Callithrix jacchus: one gene and its partner. The protein of the gene in region 1 interacts with the protein of each later gene in a pairwise test. Links are inferred from orthologs where the notes say so. Each region holds a gene or a part of one and is shown on either strand. Other genes may lie near its edges.

The links.
Region 2: the proteins of KIF9 (region 1) and PRMT6 interact in a two-hybrid assay, tested with the Homo sapiens proteins (2 studies listed by BioGRID and IntAct). The link is inferred for Callithrix jacchus from reciprocal best matches to the Homo sapiens genes KIF9 and PRMT6.

The regions. Positions count from the first base shown.
Region 1 is NC_133516.1:29,928,237-29,932,051, reverse strand, and holds part of KIF9 (kinesin-like protein KIF9), read left to right. Parts: intron 1-910; coding exon 911-1,135; intron 1,136-3,815. UniProt on the Homo sapiens protein: Essential for normal male fertility and for progressive motility of spermatozoa.
Region 2 is NC_133508.1:139,159,669-139,163,988, reverse strand, and holds the start of PRMT6 (protein arginine N-methyltransferase 6), read left to right. Parts: upstream 1-1,316; 5' UTR 1,317-1,339; coding exon 1,340-2,467; 3' UTR 2,468-2,525; intron 2,526-4,320. UniProt on the Homo sapiens protein: Arginine methyltransferase that can catalyze the formation of both omega-N monomethylarginine (MMA) and asymmetrical dimethylarginine (aDMA), with a strong preference for the formation of aDMA.

The DNA of each region.
Region 1 (3,815 bases):
TCTACTAAAAATACAAAAATTATCCGGGGTGGTGATATGTGCCTGTAATCCCAGCTACTCAGGAGGCTGAGACAGGAGGATTGCTTGAACCTGGGAGGTGGAGGTTTCAGTGAGCCAAGATTGTGCCACTGCACTCCAGCCTACGTGACAGAACACGACTCCAAAAAAGAAAAAGAAAAGAAATACTTAATCTGTATTTAGATTTCCTAAAATGTTAAAAAAGTAGATTTATATACCCAAGAGTATTCCAGACATACTTAAAATTTACCAATAACTGAATTATTGATTTTTAAATCTAAATGTAATTAAATAAAACTTAAAATTCATTTCATTTGTACTAGCCACATTTTAGGTCCTCAGCAGCCATCTATAACTTGTGTCTACCATTTTGAACAGCACAGGTTTAAAATTCTCACAGGAAGGCAGGACCTCAGGGATTATCTCTTTCTTAATAGGCACTAGGGAGGGCATTAGGAGTTGAGAAGGCTGCATTCTGGCTTTACTAATAGTCTTACTAGCTGAGTGACCATAAACCAATAATTTTATTTCATGGTGCCTTCAACAAATAGGTATTGCCCCTGCACTGCCTCAATCACAGAGATTTATATGAGGGTGGAATAAAATAGATTTGAAAGAAGCATATAAATGATGAGACTCCATAAAATAAGAAATCCTCACTCCAGAGTCCTTTCCACTCATGATACCTCTGCTTCTTGAGATGGTTCAAGTGTTAGCCAGTCTGATGTCAAGCCTGGAAAAACTACAAGATGATAATAAAGATCTCCCAATTCCTTTAGGACAAGAATTACTCTATATGTCTTGATGTTCCCTTCTGAGGTAAGAAGCCGCCTTACACTAGCTGGCTGTTGGAGTTCTGCTCTTGGTGACCAGTGTATAATCTCTCATCTAGGTTTTTAGGATGATTGAAGAACGCCCCACATATGCCATCACTGTGCGTGTTTCCTACTTGGAAATCTATAATGAGAACCTGTTTGATCTCCTGTCCACTCTGCCCTATGTTGGACCCTCAGTCACGCCAATGACCATCGTGGAAAACTCTCAAGGGGTCTTCATTAAGGGCTTGTCAGTCCACCTCACAAGTCAGGAGGAGGATGCATTCAGCCTCCTTTTTGAGGTGAGATAACAAAACCTAAGTGTTCTTTTGCTTCTCCCCTTTCCTTTCTCCTTCTCAGTTTTTCTTTTTTTTCTTTTTTGAGACAAGATCTTGCTTTATCTCCAACGCTAGATTATACTGGCATGAACATGGCTCACTGCAGCCTCGACATCCTGGGCTCAAGTGCTCCTCCTGCCTCAGCCTCCCAAGTAGCTGGGACCACAGGCACTGCTATCATGCCCACTTAAATTTTTTTTTTTTTTTTTGTAGAGACAAGGTCTTACCATGTTGCCCAGACTGGTCTTGAACCCCTAGGCTCAAGCGGTCCTCCCACCTCAGCCTCTCAAAGTGCAGGGATTAAGGCAAGCCACTGTGACCAGCCAGTTTTTTTACTTACTTTGATTATCAGAATGAATTAATATATGCACATTAGGAAAGTTTGGATAGTGCTAAAAAATATATAGGAACAAAAAAGAATTTCATTTCCTTTTCCTTTCCAGTTCCATAAATAAAAAGAAAAAGAAAAAAATGTTTCATGCATAATCTGTTTTTTACACAAGGCAACAATAATGTATATTTTAGCTTATTTCCTTCCAGTCTTTTTTCCTGTGCAGTTTTTTTCTTTACATAGTTGTATTATTCTTATGTCCCTTTTTTCCAGTTAATATTAAGTTATGAGCTCTTTTGTGGAGAACATAAAAATTAGCATCCTTAGTATAAGGCCTCCAAAAGCTCTTGGAGGCCGGGCACCGTGGGCTCACACCTGTAATCCCAGCACTTTGGGAGGCCAAGGTGGGTGGATCACTTGAGATCAGGAGTTTGAGAGCAGCCAGACCAACGTGGTGAAACCCTGTCTCTACTGAAAATACAAAAATTAGCTGAGAGTGGTGGCACACACCTGTAATCCCAGCTACTCAGGAGGCTGAGGCCGGAGAATTGCTTGAACCTGGGAGGCAGAGATTGCAGTGAGCTGAGATCGCACCATTGCACTCCAGCCTGGGCGACAGAGCAAGGCTGTCTCAAAAAAATAAATAAAAGCTCTTAGAAACCAGTCAAATGGGCTGGGCACAGTGGCTCATGCCTGTAATTCCATCACTTTGGGAGGAGGCCAAGGCAGGCAGATCACTTGAGCTCATGAGTTCGAGACCAGCCTGCGTAACACAGTGAAACCCCGTCTCTACCAAAAATACAAAAATTAGCCAGGCATTGTTAGCACTTTGGGAGGCTGAGGTGGGAGGATACACTTGAGCCCAGGAGGTAGAGGTTGCAAGTGAGCTGAGATCACGCCACTGCACTCCAGCCTAGGTAATAGAGCAAGACTCAAAAACAAGAAAGAAAGAAATCAATCAAGTGTATGTTATTCTTTTAGAAGTCATGTAGGCTGGGAACTCTCTTTTTTTTTTTTTCGAGGTCTTGCTGTGTTGCCCAGGCAATGGGCATGTGTGCAGTGGCTATTCACAGGCATGATCATAGCGCCATCTCACAACATAGCAACTTACTTCCTCAACATCAATAGCAGGATATTTTTTAAAGGGTCAGAAAGACAAGGCAAGGCCAAGCGTGGCAGCTTATGCCTGTAATACCAGAATTGAGAGGCCGGGGCAGGCGAATCACTGGAAGTCAGGAGTTTGAGCCTAGCCTAGCCAACACAGTAAAACCCTCTCTCTACTAAAAATAAAAAATAAAAATAAAAAACAAAAAGAAAGACAAGGCAAAATCGTCCTTCAGAAGGGGTATGAAGAATAAAGGTGAATGACTGGATGTGGTGGCTCATGCCTGTAATCCCAGCACTTTGGAAGGCTGAATCAGGAGGATTGCTTGAGCTTAGGAATTTGAGACCCGTGCAGGCGACACAGCGGAACCCTGTGTCTACAAAAAATATAAAAATTAGCTGGGCATGGCGGCCTGCACCTGGGGTTTTAGCTGCTTGGGAGGCTGAGAAAGGAGGATCACTTAAGCCTGGGAGGTGGAGTTTGCAGTAAGCCAATATCACACCCCTGCACTCTAGCCTGGACAACAGAGTGAGACTGATCTCAAAAAAAAAAAAAAAAAAAGATAGAAAGGTGAAGTGACCCCTTATATTCTTGGTGAGTGTCACTGGATTTGCAGAACCGGCCTGACCACAGACTATAGCCTCGTTGCTCTAAGCTATAGAGGTATAGCCACAGGGGTCTGCTAGGCTTGCTCCATAGCCTCAGTCAGTCCTTCCCTCTTTAGCAGGTGCTCTCCTCTCCCCAGGGTGTGCTGTTCCCCACCCCCACTTTGGGGCTCGTTCATAGCATTTCTCATCAGCATTGAAAGATACATCAGTCTATCCCTCAAGGACCTTTTTCTCTGAGAACAGCCATTTCCACCACATTCCTTTTTAAGTATATTCTGGTCATAAGGCCCACTCCTGTAAATTAGAGGCAAGGGCCTACTGTCCCTTTAAAAATACAAATTAATAGTTCAGATACAGTGGCTCATGCATGTAATCCCAGTATTTTAGGAGGCCGAGGTGAGCAGATCTCTTGAACTCATGAGTTCCAGACCAGCCTTGGTACATGGTGAAACCCTGTCTCTACAAAAAATACAAAAATTAGCCAGGTATGTTAGTGGACGCTTGTAGTCCCAGCTACTTGGGAAAGCAAGATGGGAGGATGGTTTGGTCCTGGGAGGCAGAGATTGCAGGAAGCTGAGATCGTGCCACCGCATTCTAGTA
Region 2 (4,320 bases), on another chromosome or scaffold:
TCATATAGATGCCACGCATATTTTAAAATTTATTTTAAACAACAAAGAATAACAGTTGATGGTTGGCTTTAAGAGAAATAGAAGAGGAAGAGGAGAGTGTCAACATTTCCAGACAAACACTGGAAAAAATGAGTTGCATTGAAAAAGTGATCAACAGAAATGGATTCTGTTATTTCTGAGAGGAAAAAAAATACACACACACACGCACATATATACGTAGCGAGAGAAAAATACACCTAGCAACGAGTTTGCTTTGATCACATGGCTCTTTAGTCTGCACTTTTCAGGATTTAACTCTTGAGTGAGCCACACAGAATATCAGAGCAGAGTCGAAAGCCAATAACTATTTTTCTAAGTATAACCAGAAACATAATTCTTCCCCAACTGCAATGAAGATTCATTAGTGGGTGAATGGGCAATTGAAGGCCAGAGTTCTATTTCTTGCCCTAAATCACTCGACTAATTAGTAGTCATACTGGAATCAGAACCCAGATTTTGTACTGCTAGGTTTTTTATTTTGTTACATTTGCACCCTAACTCCACTGAAAACAGAAAAGAGAAATGCGTAGTGCAATTTCGATAATTTCCACATCTGGAGCACTTTAAGAGCTACAATTGTCCTGCTAAGGCGGTAGTGGGTGGATGGTGCCGCCATAGTCGGTGGAATAAAACCAAGGTGAGTTAGGTTGGGCGTGGTGGCTCATACCTGTAATCCCAACGCTTTGGGATCCCGGGGAAGGTGGATCACCCGAGGTCGGGGGTGCCAGACTAGCCTGACCAACATGGAGAAATCCTGTCTTTTCTAAAAATACAAAATTAGCCGGGCGTAATGGTGCATGCCTGTAATCCCAGCTACTCAGGAGGCTAAGGCAGGAGAATCTCTTGAACCCGGGAGGGAGGCGGAGGTTGAGGTGAACCGAGATCGTGCCATTGCACTCCAGCCTGGCAACAAGAGCGAAACTCAGTTTCAAAAACCAACCAAACAAAAAAACCAAAGGTGAAGATAAATTGAGCAGAGAAAGGTGGATTATTAGTCTCGAGTGGGCGTGTCGACTTCAGGAAGGGAATGAAAACAACAAAGTGATAAGGGTTGGAGGGGGAATGAAAGGATCTCAGAATGTGGGTATGGTGGGTGGGAAAAGGGATTCCAGGACACCAGAAGAGCAGTACAAAACAGCTCCCGTGGGCAGGCACCGGGGAGACACTCCGGCCCTCCGGTCAGGGGACCCCGCAGGAAGTGGGAAGGACGAGCGCACACTACAAGTCCCAGAATCCCCCGTTTCCTGGAGCCCGTGCCGTGGCGCGCTACGCACGCCGGGAGCCGGCCGGGGCGGCCAAGATGTCGCAGCCCAAGAAAAGAAAGCTTGAGTCGGGGGGCGGCGGCGAAGGAGGGGAGGGAACTGAAGAGGAAGATGGCGCGGAGCGGGAGGCGGCCCTGGAGCGACCCCGGAGGACTAAGCGGGAGCGGGACCAGCTGTACTACGAGTGTTACTCAGACGTTTCGGTCCACGAGGAGATGATCGCAGACCGTGTCCGCACCGATGCCTACCGCCTGGGCATCCTGCGGAACTGGGCAGCACTGAGAGGCAAGACGGTACTGGACGTGGGAGCGGGCACCGGCATTCTGAGCATCTTCTGTGCCCAGGCCGGCGCCCGGCGCGTGTACGCGGTAGAGGCCAGCGCCATCTGGCAACAGGCCCGGGAGGTGGTGCGGTTCAACGGGCTGGAGGACCGAGTGCACGTCCTGCCGGGACCGGTGGAGACTGTGGAGCTGCCGGAGCAGGTGGATGCCATCGTGAGCGAGTGGATGGGATACGGCCTCCTGCACGAGTCCATGCTGAGGTCCGTCCTCCACGCGCGAACCAAGTGGCTGAAGGAAGGCGGTCTTCTCCTACCGGCCTCCGCCGAGCTCTTCATAGCCCCCATCAGCGACCAGATGCTGGAATGGCGCCTGGGCTTCTGGAGCCAGGTGAAGCAGCACTATGGTGTGGACATGAGCTGCCTGGAGGGCTTCGCCACGCGCTGCCTCATGGGCCACTCGGAGATCGTGGTACAGGGACTGTCCGGCGAGGACGTGCTGGCCCGGCCGCAGCGCTTTGCTCAGCTAGAGCTCTCCCGCGCTGGCCTGGAGCAGGAGCTGGAGGCCGGAGTGGGCGGGCGCTTCCGCTGCAGCTGCTATGGCTCGGCGCCCATGCACGGCTTTGCCATCTGGTTCCAGGTGACCTTCCCTGGAGGGGAGTCGGAGAAACCCCTGGTGCTGTCCACCTCGCCTTTTCACCCGGCCACGCACTGGAAACAGGCGCTCCTCTACCTGAACGAGCCGGTGCAAGTGGAGCAAGACACGGACGTATCAGGAGAGATCACGCTGCTGCCCTCCCGGGACAACCCCCGTCGCCTGCGCGTGCTGCTGCGCTACAAAGTGGGAGACCAGGAGGAGAAGACCAAAGACTTTGCCATGGAGGACTGAGCGTTGCCTTTTCTCTCAGCTACCTCCCAAGGCAGAAAAAGGGAGATCCCACGTGCAAGTAGGGGAAATATCTGTCTCCCTTTTCCCTCATAGCCTCCGGGGAGGGAGAGTGACTTCATTCTCCCTTTGAAGAGATTCTTCTGGTGATGTTTATTTAAAAAGTGATCCCCCTCAACAACGGATACAGCGTGCTTATTACTGGGCTTTTAAGCCTCAAAAGCGTGTAGTACCAAGCACTTGTATTTCCGTATATTTTGTCTCGCAGGGGAGGGAAGGGGGAAGAACACGGATGAAAATACCAGTTTTTCAAGGGTCCATGTACATCCCTGACATCTCACACCTTATCTAAGTCTGAAGCTGGGGAGAAAGGGTTCATTTAAACTTCATAAATTTCCAATACGACTTTAGTATCTCTCCAGAGCCATATTTTCTCAGTCTGAATTAATTCCCCATTCCTAGGTGCCTGTGGGCTATGGTACTTCTTCTTCATTGTTTTCTAAGTAAACTTTGCTACTGGTAATGAATGGGAAGGCTAAGAGGAAGCAGTTTAAATAGCCCCGCTCTCATTACTCTTAACACACACATAGGGTGCTAAAGTTGATGAACACATGAATCCATTAAGTAAAATAGTCTTTGTAAAGCATACCTAAGAAACTCAGAAGGTGCATTTAGGTGAAAGAGACCAGAAAGAGAAATAGTATGGATTTTTAAAAATTCTTGTCTCTACTATTACAACCAAAAAAAAAAGTATATATATATATTTCATGGATGTTCCATAAATATTTTTTTAATTCTTATGAAACAGGCTGGTAGAGGAGGTTTCTGAGCCTAGCCCAAGGGCTTATTCATCACTATGGGTAAATTATTTAAACTCAATTAAGGAAAATATTTTCCCAGCTAGAAAAAAATGTACTCGTTCTCATTTAAACTCATTTGGAGGGATCATGTGAGTTGGCCTACTTAATACTAGTGAAAGTTCCCTTATTTTTCTCTCTCCGTTTCACGCAGCCAATTGTGAAAGTTGTGAGTTTTAGGAAAATCACTTGTAATAAAGTGTAAATCTTATCAAATTTATTTTGCTGTTTTCCTCCTTATCCTTGTAGCAAATAAAACATTGACATTCTCACATTTTGTTGATGAAGTAAAAGTCTTGTGTGCTGTCTATGAGTTATAATGCTTTTGCCTTTTTAACATTGTCAGTTTTTAAGTGTTACAAACCCTTCAGAATATAACTTCAGGACAATTCAAACTATGCTTAATGTATGGTTTTTGAACTGCTGTATGCTAAGAAATTAGGTGTGAAAAACTGGTGTTCTGAAATAGCCTGATGTTTATTGTAATTCTGAGTTTTCTGCCTTTTTATTCATCACATATTAAAGTATTAGAGTATTATAACTAATTTGCTAAAATTTGGTGGTGTATAACACAAGATCTTCCATCATGGAGACACGGGTACAAAATTATCAATATGCAAGATGATTGAGTAGGAAGCAGTACAGTGATAACTTCACCATTTTGATACTAAGATAGTTAACGGCTCATGTAAAAGGTACAGTCACAGCACACTAGGCTTGACTTAAGCTAGAAGGGAAAAAATAGCTTCTTCTAGGGTCTTCTGTATTTTAAATCAAACATTTCTTTAGAGTTTTAGTGTGTGATTTGAAGTAGGTTTCTGGTGGTTTGGTTTGTTTTTTGAAAAAAGTTGATTTAACAATCCCTTTACTGAGTGATAAATGAGAACATTCTTCCAAATTCTATTTTTCATATATTTTATAAATATAAATACTGTAGAGTTATCCTTACCAGTATAAGCACATAAGAGGAACTTCAGTTAAAAGTTTGGGGGACTATAG